Linked DNA regions of Lonchura striata. The protein of the gene in region 1 purifies or fractionates together with the protein of each later gene. This does not show direct contact. Links are inferred from orthologs where the notes say so. Each region holds a gene or a part of one and is shown on either strand. Other genes may lie near its edges.

Region 1 (7,670 bases):
AGCAGCCTGGATAAAATGTTTTTAATTAGTCAGCACATCATTGACGTTTAGTAATGCTGTATTAATATCTTTATTTTTAGTCATGTGAATAGACATTTTCCCTATAAACTACCTCTGTTCCTTATGAACAGATCCATGACTGCATCTTTGCCATGCTCTCACCTCAAAATTCAGCTTTCCGAAGATTCATGGGTTAAGCAGCAGTGGACTAGAAAGACTGGGGGTTTTCCACCACTGTTTACATACTCTATTAAATAAAAATATTCTATTTACCAATGCTTTGAAAATAACATAATATTTAAATCTACTCTTTGTACCACATAAACCAGTAATAATTATATACATCAGTCCCGCAGATCTATCACAGGTGCTCAACTAAGACTGATGCATTTCAGCTATTTAGTTACTTTTTAATCATAACTTTAGTACCCTTCTGTTGTTTAAGGATGAAGACGTTTTACCATTTTGAGATCAGGGACTGATTTGTAAACACACGTGCACTTTTCTAAACATGTTTAAACAACCTGGAAGGCATTTCCATCTTGCAAGGGGAGTAGAAAGCTGTACCTCCCTGTAACATTACTGTGTTTGAGTAACAAGAGGGTGCCAAGGTATCACTACTGACAGGACAAACCTCGAGCAAGTTTGGGGCTAACTGCAGAATGGAGGTTCCCAAAGACCAATGTCCAAGCCCACGTGTGCACAGGCCAGCAGAGCTGGCTCACCACCAACCCTGGCACCACGAGCTCACAAACTATGCCTGAGAATTCCCCTTCTAAGGCATATTAATATAGGAAATGGTTTCTCACTAGCAAACACATATACTAAGATCTCTTGCAGTAAGAAAATAATTAGATATTTAATTGTCTTTAAATGCCTGCATTTCTTTCACATATTAACAGACACCAGAATTATCAGTGGTTTACATCTGTAAAGTACCACACCCCTTCTTCCCACCTCTCAGTAGGAGAGACTAAGGCAGAGAAGCTATAAAAGATCCTGTGAACCCACCCGCAATTCTTCCCCACACCAGGAATGCACAGGGCAGAAAAGAAGAGCACAAGTAAAATTATATTCTTTATTCATTCCATTTTAGCTGTGAATATTCCTATTATACAAATACAGTATAAATTCCGAAATCACAATATATTACAAAATAAAAAAGTACAAACTGCATTACTTAATAAATATATCTAACAAGTTAATCAGAAAGTAGAAGAGACAGAATCCAGATTGGAGACATTTAAATGTTTGACCCAGCAAACCATACAAACCTCAATTTAAGTATTTTTTTTCTTTTAAACCATAATGTAGAATACCATTCCTGATTTCTTGATTAGAAAATAAAGTCACGTGAATAAAATGTTGTGATCAGATAATGACTTGTTGGTGAAACACCAGTGCCAAAAAAGAAGCAGGGCTTATACGAAAGACACCATAGCCCCAGAAACAAGAACACAAACACTGAGGTGCAGCCACGGCAATTACTGCCAAAGCAGGAGACTATTATCTAGTCACAACATTCTATTGCAAGTTAATGTTCTGTTATTATAGATAAATAATGTAAGTGGAGCAGAGAGTGAGCCAACCAGGCAACAAGAGGCCAGTCTACTCAAAACAGTAATTAAAAACAGAAGAGTCAATTGCTCCCTGCACTGTTCACGTGTAGCTGCATTCCAACTGGCTCAAAGGACCTATTCTGTGCTCCAGGCAGAGAAAGCAATTGTTCCTAAAAGCAGTCTGTTCTCATTTTGCCGCACTTTTAAAAACACATTTTCATCAACTAGGGGGGTCAGTTTGACATCAACTTCATTTGGTAAAAATATAAAGTTTATGGGTAAAAAACACAGCAAAAAATAGCTGTTACATCATAAGCCTTATTTACAAAAACTGTTTACAAACGTTTTTGGCTGTACAGCTGAAAGCCAGATACTAATGCAAGATGTAGAAGATGGAGGTAACAGTTTAAAAATAGTGTGCAAAAAATACATTCTCATAGAAAACAGACAGTGGGGAGGGGAGACACAAACATACACGGAGAAATCTGCTTGCAAATAACCCGAGGCTAAGTTTTTACAACAGAATATTACAACTACGTCTGTATTTATCCCCCCGCAACCTACAGTCTTTGTCCGTCTGGGGTGCTGCTGCTTCATTAAGGATTAAGGCATCACCATCACAGCGAGCACACCTCTCTGTCAGTCCCTGCAGCGAAGCTCCCGGCCCAGGCGGTCTCATGAGCAGGCATTCTGCTCAATGTACATCTTGGACAAGGACACCGCCATGGACTTGGCCAGCTCCTCGTCCCGCCTGCGCTGTACCTGAGTCTGTCTGCACCACGCCTCGTACTCTGGGTTGGGGCACACGCGGTCCAGCACAGCATCGTAGTGCCCATTGCTAAGCCAGCTCAGCCAGATACTGGGCCGCGTCGGGTCCTCGGGCCCCAGGTAGTGAACCATGGTGGAAACGGTGGGGCTCTCGGGCCGGCCGCCCGTGGTCAGGTGGATGTTCACGTTCAGCATCTGCCCCATGGCCAGCAGCTCCGGGTAGCCGGCCCAGGCCCCGTCCTGCGCGGCGGCGATGAGGAACTCTCCCACGTCGCCCTCGATGATGGGGTTGAAGTGGTCCAGGTGGTCGGCGATGTAGTGCACGGTCTGCTCGCGGAGCTCGCCGTGCAGCCGCTGGTCCCCGTACACCGCCTTGCAGACGGCGCGGTACAGGCAGTTCCCGTCGGGGATGATGTGGAAGCGGAACCGGCCCTTCTGCCGCAGGTACTTGTCCTGCTTCTCCACCTCGGCCAGGTACAGCGCCAGCTTCTCGCTGCGCTCCGCTCTGCCGCCGGGCGCCCGCCGCACGTCGGGCCCCGCCGCCTCCTCCTGCTCGGCGTGCGCGGGGCCGCCGCTCCGCTCCGCGGGGCCGCAGCCGGGAACCAGCCCGGGCTGGGCGCCGGCGGCCGCCGCCTGCAGCGCCTGGCAGTGCTCGCTGAGCCGCAGGCTGCGGTTGCTGGGCTCCTCCGCCGCCTCGCCGTCGCCCCCGGCCTGCCGCACGCTCTCCAGGATGCCCTCCAGCCAGGCGCGGCTGCGCGGCGAGCCCGGCACCAGCTCCGCGGCGGCCTCGGCGCGCTGCACGATGCGGATGGGCACGATCCGCTCCAGCGGCCGCCGGCGGCTGACGGTGACCTGCGCGCAGGAGCTGAACTGCGGGCCGCCCGCCGGCCGCCCGGCCGGCCCCGCCGCGGGGCCGCTCGGCATCACCTCCAGGCAGGACGAGAAGGCGGGCATGGCGGCGGCGCTGCTGCTGCCCCCCGCGGGAACGAAGCTCTCCTTGCCGGAGCTCTCAGCGACCGCGTTCGGGCCCGCGGCGTCGGCGGCGCTCGGTGCCTCCGCGGCGGAGGGTCCCGGCGACAAGGAGACCTTGAAGACGGCGGCGGAGCTCGGCGAGGCCGCGGCGGCTGCTGCGGTGGCGGCCGCCGGGTAGTGGGTGATCACGGAGCTGTAGAGCTGCATCCTCGGCTCCCCGCGGGCGGCGCTTTATAGGCGGCGCCGCCGTCGCAGCCGGGGCGGGGAGCGGCGGCGGGGGCCGCGCTGGGGCTGCCGAGGAGGATGAACCGCCCGAGTAAAAATAAACAAGGGCATCACCGCCCGCCCCGCCCCGGCCGGGCCCCGCGGCCGCAGCAATTCCGACTGCGCCACCGGCGCGGCCCCCCCGCGGCTCCGGCCCTTCTGGAAGCTGCGGGAGCGCGGAGGGAGGCGGGGCTGCCCGCACGTCAGCGAGCGCCGCCCTGCCCCGGCCTACGTGTGCTCGGTGTCACGGCTCCTGCTCTGCGGGGCGGGCACGGACAGAAGTCATTGCATCCATTCCGTCTGGGACAGCTCTGGGCGCTGGCTGCTGTTTGCCCACCTGCAGTCTCACCCTGGGAAATGCAGTACATGCATGCAAAGGTGCGTGGTATAAACCGGCACATGTTAACAGGAGACACACGCTCTGGAACATGGGTCTCATCAAGAACATTGATAATTGTTTTATTAACGCCGGTAGTAGCACTTTAAAATTAAGCCATGTCTTCTAGCCTTAGCTGCGGTATAAAAAAAGTCATAAAGCCTTTGTCCAGGGACAATGATGACATCTGTACGCTCTCCATTTTGACTGCGTTCTGACTGGCATGCTGACCAAGAAACACCAGTTTGCACTATGATCACATGCTAATACAGACAGTCATTCCTAACAAAATGGGAAAAAAGGTATTGACATATGTAAGTTCAAAGTGATAACTTAAAAACAGTTCTGGATTCCATCTCACAGCCTCATGTATCTTCAGGAAAGTTTTAGTAATCCAAACAGATTGTACAACTCTAAAAACAAATAAACAACAACAAAAAAAAAACCTTTATTTGGATATTCTGAAAAGTTTCTTTTCCTCGTTCCATTTAATTCCATTAATTAAAAAGGCAGAATAAGAAGATCAGTTGCAATATACTGCAATATCCAAAATCATTTTCTTTGGAGCTTTGGTTGTATTTTGTATCAATGTTTAGGGATATACTTCCTATCCTCGGTCTCTGCAGTTAATTCCAGGGCAACCAGTAACACAATATGGAATTTCATTCTCTTTACATGGAAAACATATTATGACTCACTCAGCTAAATTGCATATTGGAGAAAAAATGCTCAAATCCTTCATACAAAGTTATGTGGATATTTATGGGAAATGTTTTCATATTTATCTTTTTTGTTATGGATAAGACACAGCAGTTTATTGCATTCAATATTGAGAACTTTTTTGTAAAATTTTACAGATTAAATACATATCCAAAATTTTTGCCTTCAAAGCTGAAATGTAAGAAGTATATCTGATAATGAATCAAAGTTCAAATGTCCTCAGTTACCTGACAGAGCCAGCCAAAAAGTTGATATCTTTAGAACAAATGGTGATGGGCCTTATCCAGGAGCATTTCTGGCAGCCTGTTAGAGTGGGATAAGATATTACAACTGCTCTGAAATTACAGGGTGACTCTTGTATTTCAGAATGTTCAGAACTTTGTTTTAAATATAGTTTGTGAGCCCAGTCAGTGAGTCTTTATTTCTGGACTAATCATTACTTAGAGGGGAATATATATTGACCAAATAGCAGTAAATTGAAATCTTTCCTTCTTGAAATGGAGGCTTGGAGCAAAGGAAAGATTCTTGTCTAGTTTTATTTCTTAGTCAAAACTTGGCAATGTCTATATTCCAAGTTCACATGTATATGCTGATATATATACTGATAGGAGATTTAATGTAAAACTACTGGAAATTGCCCCTTCCAAGTGGGTTTAAAACATGCCAGTTGCTCTTCATTGTGTGTTTGGTCATTTATCAAGATGTAAAATGTATATCAATGCTGCCAGTTTTTTGCTACATTTTTTTTTTTTTTCAGAAAAGCTATCTGTAGTTTGGTTTAGTGAATGTTCTGTCTGCTAGTAAATGTCAGAGCTGAGTACAGGGTGGTGGTTTAAAGTCTTCAATAGTCTGGTAACAGAGAGAGGGGAGGGAGAGGCAGCTCTTTCTCTTACAGAACAGTAAATGGATGCAGCAGACTAAGAGCACTTCTAGCAGGAGCAAGTGCTGCATTTTGAATGCTCAGTACTGCAAATTTCTTTCTTCTAGGATATAGAAACTCCTGCTAATGACTGTTCTGCCTCTCCAAAACCATAGGTTATTTGGAACAGTGGTACATTAGTGGGTGGGCAGCTGCTTAATTCTGATTGTTGGTTACAGTGAGGTATGACTTGAAGTTTGTGGTGCTTCATTTGAGGAGAGAAATAGTTTTTTTTATGCCCAAATTACCCTTGTACTAGTATTCTGATGCTCTAATGTAGAAGATTCTGGGTAAGAAAACTTGTTTATCTGAATAGAAATCCAAAGAATATCCTGAAATACATGCTAAATATGCCAGCAGGTTTTTGTAATGGTAGCAGATAGATTTTCTTTTTTTCAATTTTTGCTTATAAGCAGACATAATGTCTTTCCTAAATTTTCAGTTAAAATGCACATAATAAGCTTACTAATAACCTTAAAATACAAACAAGATCTGTTGCTAGGTAACAGAGAGAAAAACAAACATTGTAACCACTGCCTTGATGTTAATAGTATACTACTTTTGATATCTTTATTATGTCCTGTGTGAAGTAAATGGAAAGAGAAGCTCACCTTGGTGTGTTTTACCTGTGTTGTTATTAAGTACTGACAATGTAATGCAATCAACATTTTTCATAACTGAGCAGCCAGAATTAGTCACACATTCTTGGCCAGAGGGGAATCCAGTCTCTCTGGATGACCAGTGACAAAAATCCCATTGAGCCTCTGCCACACAAGCATCTCATGGTTAGCTTTCAACTCTCATACTAGGAGTTACCAGGAATCAGCACTTCCTAAAGGTAATTTTCTTAGATATCTGACAGGTTTTAACAATAACATCCTAAACCATGGTCTACACCAGGGAGTAATCACAGAATGGCCTGGATTGGAAGGAATCTCAAAGATCATCTAGCTCCTGGTCACATTCTGCTAGACCAGGTTGTTCAAAACCTGGCCTTGAACACCTGCATGGAAGGACATCCACCACCATCAGGTGCAGGACCGGGAATGATCAAGTGCTATGAGTACAATTCTGGTGAAATAGAAATTTCAAAAAAATATCTGAATGCCTTTAATGCAATAGGTCTCTATAAAAGCCAGGGGCACATGGTTCTGACTTTGGTACCTTTTACTACCAGAATATTGATCTTTAACATTTCTTTCAGCTACATGTAGCACTGCTGTTAATTCCAACAAAAAACTAAATTTTCCTTTAATATGACCCAGCTAAAACACAACCCATGTATCGGTTACTTCCAGAAAACTCCTGTATTTCCAACTTCTGTCCACTTTTCCCCATAGGTCATGGGCACACGAGCACTAGAGGTGTTTGGAAAGTGAGGAGAACACACTACGGACATACCCTTCACTGTTTTCCACAGAGTAATATTCCTGAGCTTCTGATTCACTCATTACAGGGTAATGTAAAGTTCTTTGCTCTTACAGAATAGATCTCAAAACAATCTCTGCAGTAATAAAGTATAAACATCTCCCGTGGTTAAAGTTTCTCTTGACATTACTGTTATCACTGGTTACCCTGCACATTCCAGGAATAGTTTAGATTGTTTAGAAGGCAAACCACAATCACAAAAACAGCTGTGGAACAACAGTGGTATTCACTGACGTAAAATGAAATGCATGAGAGTAGAACTAATTTTAACTTTAATGTGTAGTAGATACATGATTGACATAGAAGAAACAAATTAATTACATCACCAGGAACATTTGCTAGTGAAGAAAGAAGTTGGTTAAAATTATGTAGAGAATTACACTGAATTAGCCTTTCCATTTTTTTTTTGTTTTGTTTTTGTTTGTGCTGACATAACAGCCCTTCAGATAAATATATTTCTGACTGAAGTATTTCATGAATTAATAACTTTTTGTATGTAGCTGGGAGATGAAATGTTGAATTTATATTAATAATCTGAAGTGGTATACCAAGGAAAAAAATTTGTAAATTATTAGAAAATAGAAAAATATGTCAAGAATCTTCCAATACAGGGAAGAAATGCCTATACACTTCAACTAGAAGGAACATACTGAACAAAACATCA
Region 2 (8,170 bases), on another chromosome or scaffold:
CCCCCACCCGTTCCTGCCCTGCACCGTACCTGGACGAGTGCCAGTGCCCCACCCTGTACCTGTAGACCCGCAGTGCCCCCCACACCCCCCAGCATGCCCGTACCTGGGGGACTCCCAGCCAGTCGTCTGCCTGCTGCATGGCCTCCCGAGCGTTCTGCACCGGCTTGTTGGGGTCCCACTTCTCCCAGTCTGGGCACAGACCTGGAGGGCCAGAAGGGTCAGGGGCGCACCCCTGTCCTGACCCCCGTCCTCCACCTCCCCCTTCTGCGCCTGCTGCCCCCAACATCTCCATCGGTGCCCCCCGAGCCAGCCTGCACCTCGTACCCTCACTCGGGGCGCAGTTCTCCCCCCATCTGTCCCCCCACGCCCCCGCCCCGCCGCGCTCCTCACCCGGGGCGCAGTTGTCCACCAGCGCTCCCAGCGCTTTCCCGTCGCGCCAGTCACGGTTGAAGTTGGTGATGGGCAGCTGCGGCACCTTGTGCTGGATCCAGCCCAGCAGCCGCTGCTTGGGGGTCTGGTGGCGGCCTTCGTCGTCCTCCTCTTCCTCCCACATAGGCATGGAGATGGAATAGTGCAGGATGAGTGTCCAGATCAGCCCCAGGATCAGCTTCAGGTTCCCGTCCACGATTGCTTTGCTGTCTGTGGGGGAGAAACGGGGAGGCTGAACCCCGAGATCCCTCGGGACTCCCCCCGGGGTACCCCGACATCCTGGGACCCGCTGGAGGGATCCTCGCACCTGCACAGCTGTGGCCCCGGGATCAGCTTCAGGGTCGTGTCCCGGCTGTCTCTGGGAATGGGGATAATGGGGGGACTCGGCTGGGGCACCCCCAAACCCCACAGCACCACCACAGGGACCCCTACACCCCGACATCCCACGGCACAACGGGCGGACCCCAGCACCCGTCTCGGGGCACCCCGACACCCCAGGCGGTGCCATGGGACGCTGCACCCCAACACCTGCCTGGGGACACCCCGGGGCACAGAAGCGAGGGATGACCCACGACACTGCGCCCTGTCCATGCCGAGCACTTCACCCTGCGGGGACCCAGCACCCCCGGGAAGTGCCTGGGGGGGCACAACCCTGGCAGCAGCCGGGGTCCCCAAGGGAGCGCCCTGGAGTGCCACACCCCTGACCTTCCCAAGGGATTCCTGGAGTGCCAGAAGGGGGACACTGAGGCAGGGGACGGCTGTGGGGGGAGGGGGGTCCGAGGCATCCCGGTCCCTCCCCCACCGCCCTGCGGAGCTGACCCTCCCCCGCTCCTTCCCCCGCCACTTCCCCCCACGAGCGATCGCGTTTCAGGGAGGAAATGGGGGAGATGGAGGGACAAACCCCTCCCCGCCGGGTGCTCCGGGGGGGCAGCACCTGGGAGCTCCCCAAAACTTGGGGTCACATCTGGGGGCGTCCCGAGAGGGGGCAAAGACGCGCGTGGGAGGGGGCGGCGACACCGCGGGAGGGGGTCTCGCACCCCCCGGGTCCGGGCGTGCCAGGGGGGCCGCGCACGGACGTGTGCGCGGGGGGGGTCACCCTGCAGCTGTCGGGTGGGGGTGGGCGCTGAGGCCCCGCGAGGGGTGGGTGCGTGTGCGGGCCGGGCCCCCCCGCGCGTGAGCTCAGCGCCGCGGCCCCGAGCCAAGCGTGAGCTCAGCCCCCCTGCGCGGCCCTGCACGGGCCGGGCCCCCCCGCTCCGCACGCCCTGCGAGGGTCGGCCCGCAGACCGCGCCGCCCCCGCACACTCACCCCTTGCACACTCGCCCGCAGCCCCGCCAGCCTTGCACGCTCACCCCATTCCCACTGCTGCACCGCTCTCGCACGCTCATCCCGCTCCTGCTCCTGCCACCCCACCGCTTGCACATGCATCCCCATTCTCATCTGTCCGTCGGCCTCACTCTTGCACACATCCTTCATTCCCATTCATCCATCACCCTACCCTTGCACACTCACCCACGGCCCCATCCTCATTTGTCCATCATGCTCCTTGCACAGTCATTCTCCACTCACACTCCTCCACTCCCCACCCTTGCACTCTCACCCTATTCACACCCATCCCTCCCCTCCCTTTACACACTCATCCACATCCTCACTTGTCCACCCCTACCCTCGTATACTCTCCCTCAATTTCCCATCCCCACATCATGCCCACCCTTACACACTCATTCCTCATTCCCATTTGTCCATTGGCCCTGCCCTTGCCCGCTCACCGTTCCCATTCCCCTTCTACCCTCCAGCACCGTTCCCATTCCTCTTCCACCCTCCAGCACCATTCCCATTCCCCTTCCACCCTCCAGCACCGTTCCCATTCCCCTTCCACCCTCCAGCACCGTTCCCATTCCCCTTCCACCCTCACCCGCCCTGTGCCCACCCACCCACGGACACCGCTTCCCTTGCACACCCACCGATGGACACGAGCTTGATGTGCTCCCGCTCCAAGAACTCGAGGGCCACCGAGACATTCTCCAGCTTCATCTGGCGGAAGTTGGGGCGCGGGTGGTGCTTGCGCCCCATCTTCTTCTGGCTGAGCACCTCGAGCAGCGCGATGAGGCGCAGCCCGTCGCTCAGGTCGCGCTGCAGGTCCACGATGCGCTTCTGCACACACTTGAGGTGCTCATTGCACCAGCGCGTGAACGTGTTCTGCTGGATCTTCTTCCAGGGCGCGTCCTCTGCAAGGTCCTTCTCGGTGGCCGGGAGCTCCTCGGGGTCCTCTCCCGGTGCTGCCTCGTAAGTAGAGTTCATCCTGGAGGGCTCGGTGGGTCCTCGATGGGCAGAGGGGTTCCTGGGTGGTGTGGAGAGTCCTGAGAGGGTTGGGGGGGAGCCCTGGCTCACTTCTGGTGCTGGGCGGGGGTCGTGGGTCAGTCCCAGTGTCCTGAAGGGATCCTGGCACCGTGGGTGTGGGTCCCAAGGCGGTGCCGGTGTCCTGTGGATGCCTGGGGTGGGGTTCTGGGTCCCGGTGGCAAAGCTGGCGCTGGGGGACAATGTCCTGGGTTGGGGACGGTGTCCTGGGTCAGAGCTGGTGTCCCGGGCGGGGCCCTGGGTGGGTGCTGGTGCCCGCTATGGGGTCCCGGTGCTGGGAGATTCAGTCCTGGGTCGGTCCCGGTTCCTGGGTGGGTGTCTGTGTCCTGGATGGGGTCCCAGTTCCCGGCGATGGGGGACGGTGTCCTCGGTCAGTCCCGGCGCCCAGGGAGGGTCCCGGTCCCCGGGGTCAGGACGGGTGCCTGAGGACGGGGTCCCGTCTCAGTGCCGGTGTCCCGAGAGGGGTTCGCTGCTCGGTACTGGTGTCCTGGCTAGGGTTTCCTGTTCCCGGGGTCGGGGGCTGGTGTCCTGGGTCCGTCCCGGTGCAAGTTCCCGGTGGTGGGGTTGGTTCCCGGTGCGTTCCCGGAGCGGAGCGGCGGGTCCCGGAGGGCTGGGGGGTCCGGTAGGTTCCCGGGTCGGTTCCCGATTAGTTCCCGGAGCGGCGTTCGCGGCGGGCTCCCGTGTGTTCGCGAGGCGTCCCAGGAGCGCTCCTGGGCCAGGGGCGACGGCGGCAAGTGGCGGGGCCGGGGGCGGCGGCGGCTTTAAGCGCTGCCCCGGCCCGGCCCGCCCCGTCCCGGGGAGGGACCGAGCAGGAGGGACGGAAAGACCGCCCGAGCGGCCGGGGGTGGGGGGTCCGGCCGTCGCTATTTACAGCCCCGGCCTCACTCCCGGAGCCCCAGACACCGGCACCCCCAAGACCGCCGGACTTCGGCGCTCCCCAAACCTCGGACCCCCGGACTCCGGCACCCCCAAAACCCCGGAATTCGGCACCTCCCAAAACGCCGGATCCCAGCACACCCCGGAGCCCCCCGACTTCAGGACTCCCGGGCCAAAGCTCCCCCAAACCGCGGCACTCCCAAAACCCCCAAACAGTGGCAGTTCCAAAAACGCACAGACATCAGCACCCCAAAATCTCTGACATCCCTAAAACCGCTGTAACCTCAAACGCCGGCCCACCAAAACACCGACACTCACCAACACAAGCACCCCAAAACGCCAGCACCCACCAACTCCCAAACGCTGGCACCCCAACACCCCAAAACTCCCCGAATTCCCTGAAGTCCAGTGTCATAAACTCCTAAACTCTGCCACCTCAGAACCCCCTGCCCCCAGACACTGGCACCCCCAAACTTTGCACGCTGAACCACGGCACGCCTAAACTTTGGCACCCTCAAACCTCAGCACCCCCAAACCTCGGCCCCCAGGCACCCCAGCCTCCCTACACTGAAACCCTGGTACCTCAAATCCCAGCACCCAGACACCCCTGAAACTCTGGCCCCCCAAAATCCAGAATCCACCCATAATAATCCCAAATACCTGCAACCTCGACACCCCAAAACCTCAGCACCCTATAGCCCAGGCAGCCCAACACCCTGTTATCCTGATACACCTGTACCTTAATTCCCAAACATCCCAGGCACCCCACAGCACAACGCATCCCAAAACCCCCCCAAAGACGCCCCCAAAACTTACTCGAACCCCCTCACTCATCCCTTTCCCCTTGGGAACCCCTGAAAAACACATAAAAACTCTCCCCCAGCCCCGAGGGGCACAACTGAGATCCCACAAACCCTCCCAGGATCCCCTCTGGGGAAGCCCCCCCCCCAGGACCACTCTTGCCATGGAACCCCCACCCAGTCCCCTCGGTTGCACCCCACTCCCTCCGGTGACTCCAGCCGTGGGTCCCCCTGGCCATGCCTCAGTTTCCCCATGACAATGGCACAAGCCTGGGGAGGGGGTTCGGTCATATTTGGGGTGCACCCTAAACCCCTCTGCCCCCCAAATCTCTCTTGTGCCCCTCCCCCCTTTCCAGACACCCGCGGCCTCCTCAGCTCCCTTGGGAGGGGCAGGGGGACACTCGGGTGACCCACATCTGGGTCCTTTGGGGGGGCGATTTGGGGAGTATCGTGTTCCCCCTGTTCCGGTGCCTGCCTGGAAGCTTCCAAGGGAAGGGGGGGCGGTGCGGGTGCACCCCGGGGTGACAACGGGTGACAAGGGGTGACGTGGGGGGGTGACGTGGGGGGGGTGACGCGGTGGCGCCTGCGCCAACACCTAAAAATAACCTGCCGAGTCAGAGCCACGCACCGGCACCCAAAATACCCGGGGGGGCACGCGGGGGGGCGCCCCCAACACATCATCACCCAAAATACCTGGGGCAGGGGCCGGGGGGGCACCAACAGGGGTGGGGGCAAAACGCGACAGGGTCCCTCACCAGGACCCCCAAGCCCTTGGCAGGTGTGGGAAGGGGAGCGAGTGGGTTGGGGGGGTCAGGATGTTTGGGGAGGTCGAGGGTGGTCCAGGGGGCTCTGAGCAGTCAGGGCACTGCGGGGGGGTCAGTGCACTCCAGGATGGGGTTTCAGGATGCTGCTGGGGCAGGTCAGGGGGACCCAGGGGGATCCCAGTGTCCCCCAGGGTCTCGGCTCTGCCACAGCCAGGGCAGAGGAAGATGACGGTGGAGGCCACGAGGGGACAAAGGACCTGACCCCGCCAGTGTCTCCTGGGGAGGGGACACAGGGCAGAAACACTGCTGCCCGTGGTGACATCCTGAGTCCAGCGTCCCCCCAGCCTGTCCCCAGCTGTTTCCTTGGGACACTGGGGCTGGAAGCACTCAGGGTCCTCAGGGTGGGGTGACATGGGGAGGGGGTCATCGGCAGCCTGGGGGCACAGAGAGGGGAAGAGGGGGGCACTGGGGACGTGGCCATGGGGACATGGGGCCAGGGCTGAGGGACATAAGGGACACGAGAACGAGGGGTACATGGACAGTGGGACACAGGTAACGTGGCCATGGGGACAGCAGGGACATGTGTGGGGCCACATCCAGGAGGGCACAAGAGCAGCGACTTGGAGGCCCTAGGAGTCCCACGGGGGCCATGGGGCTGGAGACAGAGCACTGGGGGGCCTGGGGGGCCATGGGTCCCGTGTGGAGGTGGTGCTGCCGGTACCAGTGGGTGCTGGGGGCTTGGTGGTGGGCACTGGTGGTGTGGGGGGTCCTGGCAGGGCAGTACCACCACTGCAGGCCCCGGAGCTCCATGCCCAGCATCCCCCAAGTCCCTTCCCTGCTCCATCCACAATCCCAGAATCACAGAACCACAGAGCCCCTGAGGCTGGAAAAGCCCTCCCGGCCATGGAGTCCAAGCTGTGCCTGACTTCTCCTTGTCCCGGAACCCTGGGTGCCACCTCCAGGCCTCCCTTGGACACCTGTGGGGATGGGCACCCCAAACCCCCCCGGGCAGCCCCTGCCGAGGCTGACAGCTCCGTCGTGCCCCAGCTCTGCCGTCCCCCACAGCCCCTGCGCTGTAGCCCTCTCCGCAGCCCACAGTGCCCACAGTGGCCGCGGCTCCACAGGGGACACAGCGGGGGGACCCTTTGTGGGGTGTCTGTCCCCTGGGTCACCACCCTGGGGCACCACCCTGGGACACCACCCTGGAGCACCCATTTGGGGGTGCCCCTCCATGGGACGCCTAGTAGAGCACCAGCAGAGCTGACCCTACCCGGTACGGCCCAGTACAGCCCAGTACGGCCCGGTAGAGCCTGGTACAGTATGACCAAACCCAGTACAACCCAACAGGGCACAGTGCAATGCCATGGCACAATACAGTGCAGTACAGCCCAATGTAGTCCAGTACAGCCCAGTACAAACCAGTACAGTACAGGCCAGTATGATCCAGTACAGCCCAGTAAAACATGGGCTGGGGGTTCAGCCCAGCCAATCCCCCTGTTCCTTCCCTGGCCCCATCTCTGACCCAGAGCTGGACAGAAGCTCAGGGTGCCCCAGGACACCCCAGGGTGGGCACCCCCCACACACTCAGGGCACAGCGTTCCCTGAGGGTGTCCCCCTCCCCACAAATGAGATCCCCCTTCCCTGGGGGTCCCGGGGTGCCACAGTGAGGTCCCTGCACCAGCCTTTATAGGCGCCCCCAGCCCGGGGGGGCACTGTAATCCCTCCCTAAGCAGCTTCTGTTCATCCTTCCTGTTCCCCGGGGGTGCCACAGGCTGAGGGAGGGAAAGAGGGGGGTGGGAGGGCAGGAAACGCTGGGAGTCTTCTGGGACTCAAGTCCCAGCAGCACACCCCCAAAGTGACCCCCCATCCATGACCCCCTGTCACTGCACCCCCAAAATGAACACCCCCTCTCAGACACCCCACCTCAAGCAGTGCCCCCCCAGTCTTCCCCCCACCCCTTGATACCCCCAGACTCCTACACCTCACTTGGAGTCTCCCCAGCACAGGGATGCCCCAAGCCCAGAACTGGGGACAATTGCTTGAGAGGGGAGACACCTGGGGGGCACCCTGGGGTGCTGGGGTGGGGGGCAGCGGGTGAGTTCATGAGGAAACTCCAAGTTCTTCCCAAAGCATCCAGGGCTGCGGCACCCTGGGGGAGTGGGATCAAGGCTGGAGCACCTGGGGACCCCTGGGGATCCTAGGGGCACCTGGCCATTCTGGGGGTGACCAGGACACAGCTTGGGGACCCCCTGGGGCACACTGAGGACCCTGGTGGGATCAGAACTAAGGCTGGGGACCAAGCCTTGGGCTTGGGAACACCTGGGGACACCTGAACACCTCAGGAGGAGCAGGATCAAGCTTGGAGCCCCCTGGGGACCCTCCCCATACCCAGATGTTGGGGGGAGCCCTTCTGCCCCCCCCCCCCCCCCCCCAATCCTCCAGAGCACCAGCAATCGGCTCACCCGGCTCAGGGGCCCGATTAGGGGCTGAGCCCGGTTTAGCCCACCCTAATCCCCAAGTTTGGCCGGGCTGAGCCCTGATCCCCCCTAAGCAGCTTTGGGGGCGCAGGGTATATCAGGGGGGTGGGCGCCCCCCCCGCCAGCGCCACCATGGACGAGGAAGAGTTCTACCTGTTCAAGAACCAGTCGTCGGTGGGGCCCTGGGATGGGCCCCAGTACCACATCGCGCCCGTGTGGGCCTTCTACCTGCAGACCATCTTCATGGGCTTGGTGTTCGTGGCGGGCACCCCCCTGAACGCCATCGTCCTCATCGTCACCATCAAGTACAAGAAGCTGCGGCAGCCGCTCAACTACATCCTGGTGAACATCTCCGTTGCCGGCCTCATGTGCTGCGTCTTCTGCATCTTCACCGTCTTCATCGCCAGCTCCCAGGGATACTTTGTCTTCGGGAAGCACATGTGTGCCTTTGAGGGCTTTGCAGGGGCC
Region 3 (8,231 bases), on another chromosome or scaffold:
GTGACACCCTATGGATCCCCTGTGACACCCTGTGGGATCCCCCGTGACACCCTATGGGATCCCCAGTGACACCCTATGGATCCCCTGTGACACCCTATGGATCCCCTGTGACACCCTATGGGATCCCCCGTGACACCCTATGGATCCCCTGTGACACCCTATGGATCCCCTGTGACACCCTATGGGATCCCCAGTGACACCCTATGGATCCCCTGTGACACCCTATGGGATCCCCCGTGACACCCTGTGGATCCCCCGTGACACCCTATGGGATCCCCCGTGACACCCTGTGGATCCCCCGTGACACCCTATGGATCCCCTGTGACACCCTATGGATCCCCTGTGACACCCTGTGGGATCCCCTGTGACACCCTGTGGGATCTTGGGGGTCCCTCGTGCCCCACAGCCCCTTCCCCATGGTCCCCCCTGCCCTATGGAGCCCCTCATGGACCCCCAGGGAGCCCACCCCCCACTTTGGGGTCCCCCTGACCCCCCGACCCCAAAGTGCCCCCATAACCCCCCCCACCCTATGGGTCCCCCCCACCCTATGGGTCCCCCCCACCCTATGGGTCCCCAGAACCCCTCCCCCCATCCTCGCCCCGCCCAAATCCCACCCCAGGGGGGTCCCCGGACCCCTCCTCATCCTCACCCCAAAAATCCCCCATAGCCCCCCCTTTTGGGGTCCCCATAAATTCCCCCCTCCCCAAATCCCCCCCAAATCCCCTCCCCACCCCAAGAGCCCCCCGGATCCCCCCCAAATCCGCCCCTCCCCTTTTATGGGCTCCCCAAACCCCCCGGGTGCCCCCCAGCCCCTCCCCAACCCCCCCCCGCAGTCCCCAGAGCCCCCCATGGGGGACCCCCCGACCCCTCCCCACCCCAAGAGCCCCCCCAAACCCGCCCCTCCCCCTTGATGGGCTCCCCAAATCCCCCCTCCCCCCTTTTAGGGGTCCCCGGGCCCCCCCCAGCCCCTCCCCGGCCCCCCCGGCCCCCCCCGGGGCGGGGCTCGCTCCTCTCGTTACCAATTAAGGCTCCGCGCGCGCCGCGCGAGCCCCCGGTACCGGCACCGCCACCGCGCGGGGCCACCGAGCCCTCCCCGGGACCGCCGAACCATCCCCGGGACCACCGAGCCATCCCCGGGACCACCGAGCCCTTCCCGGGACCGCCGAGCCCTTCCCCGGGACCACCGAACCATCCCCGGGACCACCGAGCCCTTCCCCGGGACCACCGAGCCCTTCCCGGGACCACCGAGCCCTTCCCGGGACCGCCGAACCATCCCCGGGACCACCGAGCCCTCCCCGGGACCACCGAACCATCCCCGGGACCGCCGAACCCTCCCCGGGACCGCCGAGCCATCCCCGGGACCACCGAGCCCTTCCCGGGACCACCGAGCCCTTCCCGGGACCACCGAGCCCTCCCCGGGACCACCGAGCCCTTCCCGGGACCACCGAGCCCTTCCCGGGACCGCCGAGCCCTCCCCGGGACCGCCGAACCATCCCCGGGACCACCGATCCCTTCCCAGGACCACCGAACCATCCCCGGGACCGCCGAACCATCCCCGGGACCACCGAGCCCTTCCCGGGACCGCCAATCCCTTCCCGGGACCTCCGAACCCTTCCCCGGGACCACCGATCCCTTCCCGGGACCTCCGATCCCTTCCCCGGGACCGACACCGGCACCGCTCGGATCCGCCCCGGGACCGCCGGGTCCCGAGCCCCGAGGACCACCGAGACCGAGCAGCAGGTGAGGAGCCCCCGGGACCCCCGAGCCCCCCTCAAGCCCCGGGGACCACCGGGGCCGCCGGAGCAGCGGGACCGGCACCCCTGGGTGGCGCCGACCCCCCCGGTCCCGACCCCTGACCCCCGGGACCCCCGGGACCCCCGGGAACCGAGCCCAGAGCCCCGAGTAGCCCCGGGACCCCCGCCAGGATCGCGGGGTTTGGGGGGGCTTTGGGTGGGCGGGGGGCGCGAGGGGGACCCCGAGTTTGGGGCTCCCCCGATTGGGGCTGGGGGACCCCCCAAGGTGTGACCCCGATTTTGGGGTCCGAGACCCCCTTGAGAGCCCCCTGGGGGCGCGTTTTGAGGGAACCCCTAAAATGGAGCTGGGGACCCCCAAATGGGGCTGGGGGAACGCCATAACGGGGGACCCCGATTTTGGGGGACCCCCTTGAGAGACCCCTGGGGGTGCTTTGGGGGCTGGGGACCCCCTAATGGGCTTGGGGTACCCCTCTGAATGGGACCCCCCCCCCCCTTTTTTGGGGGGGTCTGAGGAGCCCAGAGTGGCTGGGCCCCCCTTTTTGGGGTGGGGGTCCCCACTTGGGGCCACCTTTGGGGTCCGGGGGACCCCGGGAATGGGAAGGGGGCAACAGGGTGGGGACCCTCCCCTGACCCCCCCAATCTGGGGCCAATGGGGCAGAGCCGGGGGTCACCCCAAATTGGGGCACCCCTAAATGTTGGGGGAGTTTGGGGAGGGTCTCTCATTGTGGGGGTCCCATCATTATTGGGGTCCCCCATTATTAGGGTTTCTTCTTGTGGGCATCCCCCATTTATTGGGGGTACCTCATTATTGGGGTCCCTCCTTTTGGGGGTGCCCAGGTGAAGATGCTCATGGGGTCCCCCACTCTGGGATTCCCCCATTATGGGGATCCCCCATTATTGGGGTCCGTCATTACAGGGATCCCCCATTATGGGGGTACCCCATTATTGGGGTCCCCTGATTGTGGGGTCCCTTACTCCAGGGATTTCCCCATTGTGGGATCCCTTCATTTTGGGGGTCCCTCACTATGGGATCCCCTCCTTGTGGGGTTCCCTCGGTAATGGGATCCCTCATTTTGAGGGTCCCCCATTATTGGGATCCCCCGTTTTGGGCTCCCCCATTATCAGGATCCCTCGTTATTGGGGTTCCCCATTGTAGGATCCCCCATTCCGGATCTGCCCGGCTGCCACATCCCCCATTATTAGGATCCCCCCATTATTAGGATCCCCCCATTATTAGGAACCCCCTTTTTGGGATCGCCCGGTTTGGGCTCCCCCATTATCGCAATCCCCCATTATAAGGACCCCCCATTCTGGGCACCCTAATTTGGGCTCTCCCCCATTATTAGGGCCCCTCATTATGGGGTCCCTCATTATTGGGGTCACCCGTTATTAGGGTCTCCCGTTTTGGGGTCCCCCATTACGCACTGCCCCATTATTGCGATCCCCCATTATTAGCACCCCTCATTATTAGCATCCCCCTTTATTAGGATCCCTCCTTTTGGGATCCCCCCTTATCGGGATCCCCCATTTTGGGGATCTCCCATTATCAGGATTCTCGTTATTAGCATCCCCCATTTTGGGGATCCCCGTTATCCGGATTCCCATTAGTAACATCCTCCATTTTGGGGATCCCCGTTATCCGGATCCCCGTTATCAAGATTCCCGTTATCAGCCTCCCCCATTTTGGGGATCCCCGTTATCAGGATCCCCGTTATCAGGATTACCACTAGTAGCATCCCCCATTTTGGCGATCCCCGATCAGGATTCCCGTTATTCGCATTCCCCATTTTGGGGATCCCCGTTATCAGGGTCCCCGTTATCAGGATTCCCGTTATTCGCATCCCCCATTTGGGGATCCCTGTTATCAGGATTCCCGTTATCTGGATCCCCGTTGTCAGCACCCCCATTTTTGGGGATCCCCGTTATCAGCACCCCCATTTTGGGGATTCCCGTTATCAGGATCCCCGTTATGTGGATCCCCGTTATCAGCACCCCCATTTTTGGGGATCCCCGTTATCAGCACCCCCATTTTGAGGATCCCCGTTATCCGGACCCCCGTTACCAGCACCCCCGTTACCAGCACCCCCATTTTGGGGATCCCCGTTATCCGGATCCCCGTTATCAGAACCCCCGTTACCAGCACCCCCATTTGGGCATCCCCGTTATCCGGATCCCCGTTATCCGGATCCCCGTTATCAGGATCCCCGTTATCAGCACCCCCATTTGGGGATCCCCGCTCTCCGGACCCCCGTTACCAGCACCCCCGTTATCCGGATCCCCGTTATCAGCACCCCCATTATCCGGATCCCCGTTATCAGCATCCCCATTATCCGTATCCCTGCTCTCCGGATCCCCGTTATCCGTATCCCCGTTGTCCGGATCCCCGTTACCAGCACCCCCGTTATCAGCACCCCCATTTGGGGATCCCCGCTCTCCGGATCCCCGTTATCCAGATCCCCGTTATCCGGATCCCCGTTACCAGCACCCCCATTTGAGGATCCCCGCTCTCCGGATCCCCGTTACCAGCACCCCCGTTACCAACACCCCCGTTACCAACACCCCCGTTACCAGCACCCCCGTTATCAGCACCCCCATTTTGAGGATCCCCGTTATCAGCATCCCCGTTATCCGTATCCCCGCTCTCCGGATCCCCGTTATCCGTATTCCCGTTACCAGCACCCCCATTTTGAGTATCCCCGTTACCAGCACCCCCGTTACCAGCACCCCCGTTACCAGCACCCCCGTTACCAGCATCCCCGTTATCCGGATCCCCGTTATCCGTATCCCCGTTACCAGCACCCCCATTTTGAGTATCCCCGTTTCCAGCACCCCCGTTACCCGCACCCCCTTTGGTCCCCCCCGTCCCCGCGCTGCCCCCTTACCCCGCTCTCCAGCTCCGGTTTCTCACCGCCCCTCCCCTCCCTCCCTCCCTCCGTCCCTCCCCGCAGCCGCCCCGGGCCGGCCCCGCGATGAGCGCGCCGGGCGGGCGGGGCCGCGCGGAGCCGGGAGCGGAGCCCGAGATGCCGGCCACCGAGAAGGACCTGGCGGAGGACGCGCCCTGGAAGCGCATCCAGCAGAACACCTTCACCCGCTGGTGCAACGAGCACCTCAAATGCGTCCAGAAGCGCGTGGGCAACCTGCAGACCGACCTGGGCGACGGGCTGCGCCTCATCGCGCTGCTCGAGGTGCTCAGCCAGAAGCAGATGGGCCGCAAGTACAACGCGCGCCCCACCTTCCGCCAGATGCAGCTGGAGAACGTCTCGGTGGCCCTGGAGTTCCTGGAGAGGGAGAACATCAAGCTGGTGTCCATCGGTGAGAACCTCCGGGGCGGCGAGCGGGGCTGGCCGGGCGGCGAGCGGGGCGGCCCCGGGGGCGAGCGGGGCTGCGGAGGAGTTGGGGTTTTGGGGGGGGGGATGAGATTCCAGTGGTTAGTTTGGTGAGGAAAGGGTGGAAATGGGTCGGGAAAGGGTCAGAAATTGGGGAGGGGGCGTGAGAACAACCCCCAACTGCCCCCGGAAAGTTTTGGGGGTTGGGGAGGGGGTGGGGGCTGCGGAGGAGTTGGGAATTTGGGGGTGGGGATGAGATTCCAGTGGTTAGTTTGGTGAGGAAAGGGTGGAAATGGGTCAGAAATTGGGGAGGGGGCGTGAGAGCAACCCCCAACCCCCCCCCCTCCCCCCCCGGAAAGTTTTGGGGGTTGGGGAGGGGGTGTGGGAGTTAGTGAAGAGCTGGAATTTTGGGGGGGGGGTGAGATTCCAGTGGTTAATTTGGTGAGGAAAGGCTGGAAATGGGTCGGGAAAGGGTCAGAAATTGGGGAGGGGGCGTGAGAGCAACCCCCGGAAAGTTTTGGGGGTTGGGGAGGGGGTGTGGGAGTTAGTGAAGAGCTGGAATTTTGGGAGGGGGGGTGAGATTCCAGTGGTTAGTTTGGTGAGGAAAGGGTGGAAATGGGTCAGAAATTGGGGAGGGGGCGTGAGAGCAACCCCCAACCCCCCCCGGAAAGTTTTGGGGGTTGGGGAGGGGGTGTGGGATTTAGTGAGGAGCTGGAATTTTGGGGGGGGAAATGAGATTCCAGTGGCTAATTTGGTGAGGAAAGGGTGGAAATGGGTCGAGAAAAGGTCAGAAATTGGGGAGGGGGCGTGAGAGCAACCCCCAACCCCCCCCGGAAAGTTTTGAAAGTTTTGGGGGGGTGTGGGAGTTAGGGACGAGTTGGGATTTTTGGGGGGAAAATGAGATTGGAGTGGATTATTTGGTGAGGAAAAGGTGGAAAAGGGTCAGAAATTGAGGAGGGGGCGTGCGACCACCCCCCCCCCCTCCCGGAAATTTTTGGGGGTGGGGGGGTGTGGGAGTTAGTGAGGAGTCGGAATTTTGGAGTTTTGGATGAAAAAAGGAGGTTGAAATGGTGAGGAAAGGCTGGAAACGTCTCAGAAGAGGGTCAGAAATTGGGGAGGGGGCGTGCGACCACCCCCCAAAAAAGTTCAGGCCGTGGGGAGGAAGCGGGAGTTGGATTTTTTTGGGGAGAAAAAAAGGCAGAAATTAGATTTTTAGGGTTTTTTTGATAAAATGGTGGTGGATTCGCCCTAAAAGGGTCTCGGAAATTGGGGAGGGGGCGTGCGACCACCCCCCAAAAAGAGCGTGGAGCTCGGGGTGGGGCCATGGGGGGAGTGGCAGTTACGGAGCGTTGAAATTTTTTTGGGGAAAAAAAAGGAAATCTGAGCGATTTGTGGTGGTGGGGAGGGGGCAAAAATACCCCCGGAAGGATGTCAGGAATTGGGGGAGGGGTCGTGCGACCACCCCCCAAAAAACCTCCGAGGGGGTTCGGGGCGGGATGGGGGGAAACGGGAATTGTGGAGAAAATCGGATTTTGGGGGGAAAAAGGGAGATGGGAGCGGTTTGTGTTGCTGAAAAAGTGGAGAATTCTCCCCAAAACGGGCTCGGGAATTTGGGGAGGGGGCTCCTGGAGGAGCCGCGGGGGCTCTGAAATTTGGGGAGGGGTCCGCTGGGGGACCCCCCGGCCGGCGGAGGAAGGGGAGGGGTCCCTGCGAGAGGAGGAGCGGGGCGGGGCCGGGTGGGGAAAAAGCGGCGAATTCTCCCCAAAATGGGGCCGGGAATTTGGGGAGGGGGCTCCTGGAGGACCCCCAGAAATGGGGGGGGGGGCAACTGGGAGACCCCCAGAGCCCAAAATGGGGAGGGGTCTCTGCGGAAGGGAAGCTCGGACTGGTTTTAATGGTGAGGAGGGGGCGGGACCCCGACCCCAAAAGGCCCCGGAAATTGGGGAGGGGTCGTGGACGAGCCCAGAAATTGGGGGGGGGTCCCGCTCCCAAAAATGGGGAGGGGTCTCCAAGAGGGGGAGCATCCAACTGGTCCCAATTGGGGAGACCCCTCCCCAAAAAACACCCCGAAATTGGGGGGGGGGGTCCTGGAGAGGGCAAACCCCCTTCGATAATTTGGGGGGGGGTCTCAGGGGGCGCAGAGACCCCTCCCCAAATAACCCCAGAGTGATGGGGAGGGTCCTGAGACCCCTCCCCTTTATGAGACCCCCCCCGGGAATATTTTGGGGACCCCCCCCCACATTTAGGGCGGGGCTTTGGAGGCTCCTCCCCCCCCAAATCCCACCCTGGGGGGGGGGCTCCGTTTGAGACCCCCCCCCAAATTTGGGACACGCCCCTAAATTAGACCCCCCCCCAATTTGCGACCCCCCCCCCCCCACATTTGGGACCCCAAAATTAAAGGGGGAAGGTCCTGGAGACCCCTCCCCTCTTAGGGGGGCTCCCCCTTTTACAGGGCCCTGTTTGGGACCCCCTCCCCAATTTAGGGTCCCCCCTCCCCAATTTTGGACCCCCCCCCCAATTTAGGCTCCCCCCTCCCCCAATTTGGGGCGACCCCAAAATTAAGGGGGGGTGGGGGATGGGGGGGTCCGGCCCCTCCTCCCAGCGCAGGAATTTGGGGAGGGGGCGCCGCTCGCGGGGCTCGGGGGGGTCCCGAGGGGGTCCCGGGGGTCTCGGGGGGTCCCGGCGGTTTTTTGGGGAGGGGTCCCGGGGGGGTGGGGCTGGGGGCGGGGCCTCGGCTGTGGCCGAGCCCTTATAAGGCCAAAAAATGCTGGAGCGGGGGGGGAGGGGCCGCGGCCCTTCCCCCACCGGCCCCGCCCCTCCCCCTCCCCCCAAAATCCGCCCCCAACCCCCCCCGGGAGGGGGCGGGGCCGGGCGGGGCCCCTCCCCCCCAAAAACCGCGCGAGGGGGGCGGGGAGCGGGGCTGACCCCGGGGGGATTTGGGGACCCCCGGGAAGGGACCCCAAAAACGGGAATGGGGACGGGGCGCGGCTGAGAGCCCAAAAAAACCCAAAAAGGGCCCCAAAAATCCCAAATGTGACCCCAAAAATCCCAAATGTGACCCCAAAAACGGGAATGGGGATGGGGCGCGGCTGAGAGCCCAAAAAAACCCAAAAAGGGCCCCAAAAATCCCAAAAGTGACCCCAAAAATCCC

What was found.
Region 2: the proteins of OTUD1 (region 1) and FLNC purify together in Homo sapiens (affinity purification with mass spectrometry; 3 studies listed by BioGRID and IntAct, with this or other methods). This does not show direct contact. The link is inferred for Lonchura striata from reciprocal best matches to the Homo sapiens genes OTUD1 and FLNC.
Region 3: the proteins of OTUD1 (region 1) and FLNA purify together in Homo sapiens (affinity purification with mass spectrometry; 3 studies listed by BioGRID and IntAct, with this or other methods). This does not show direct contact. The link is inferred for Lonchura striata from reciprocal best matches to the Homo sapiens genes OTUD1 and FLNA.

What each region holds. Positions count from the first base shown.
Region 1 is NC_134603.1:139,207,364-139,215,033, reverse strand, and holds the start of OTUD1 (OTU domain-containing protein 1), read right to left. Parts: upstream 3,518-7,670; 5' UTR 3,507-3,517; coding exon 2,235-3,506; 3' UTR 1-2,234. UniProt on the Homo sapiens protein: Deubiquitinating enzyme that specifically hydrolyzes 'Lys-63'-linked polyubiquitin to monoubiquitin.
Region 2 is NC_134607.1:73,108,592-73,116,761, reverse strand, and holds the start of FLNC (filamin-C), read right to left. Parts: upstream 3,509-8,170; 5' UTR 2,729-3,508; coding exon 2,392-2,728; intron 640-2,391; coding exon 391-639; intron 202-390; coding exon 104-201; intron 1-103. Other genes in the region: OPN1SW (short-wave-sensitive opsin 1), read left to right, coding at 7,835-8,170.
Region 3 is NC_134638.1:1,279,586-1,287,816, reverse strand, and holds the start of FLNA (filamin-A), read left to right. Parts: upstream 1-4,723; coding exon 4,724-5,066; intron 5,067-8,231. UniProt on the Homo sapiens protein: Promotes orthogonal branching of actin filaments and links actin filaments to membrane glycoproteins. Anchors various transmembrane proteins to the actin cytoskeleton and serves as a scaffold for a wide range of cytoplasmic signaling proteins.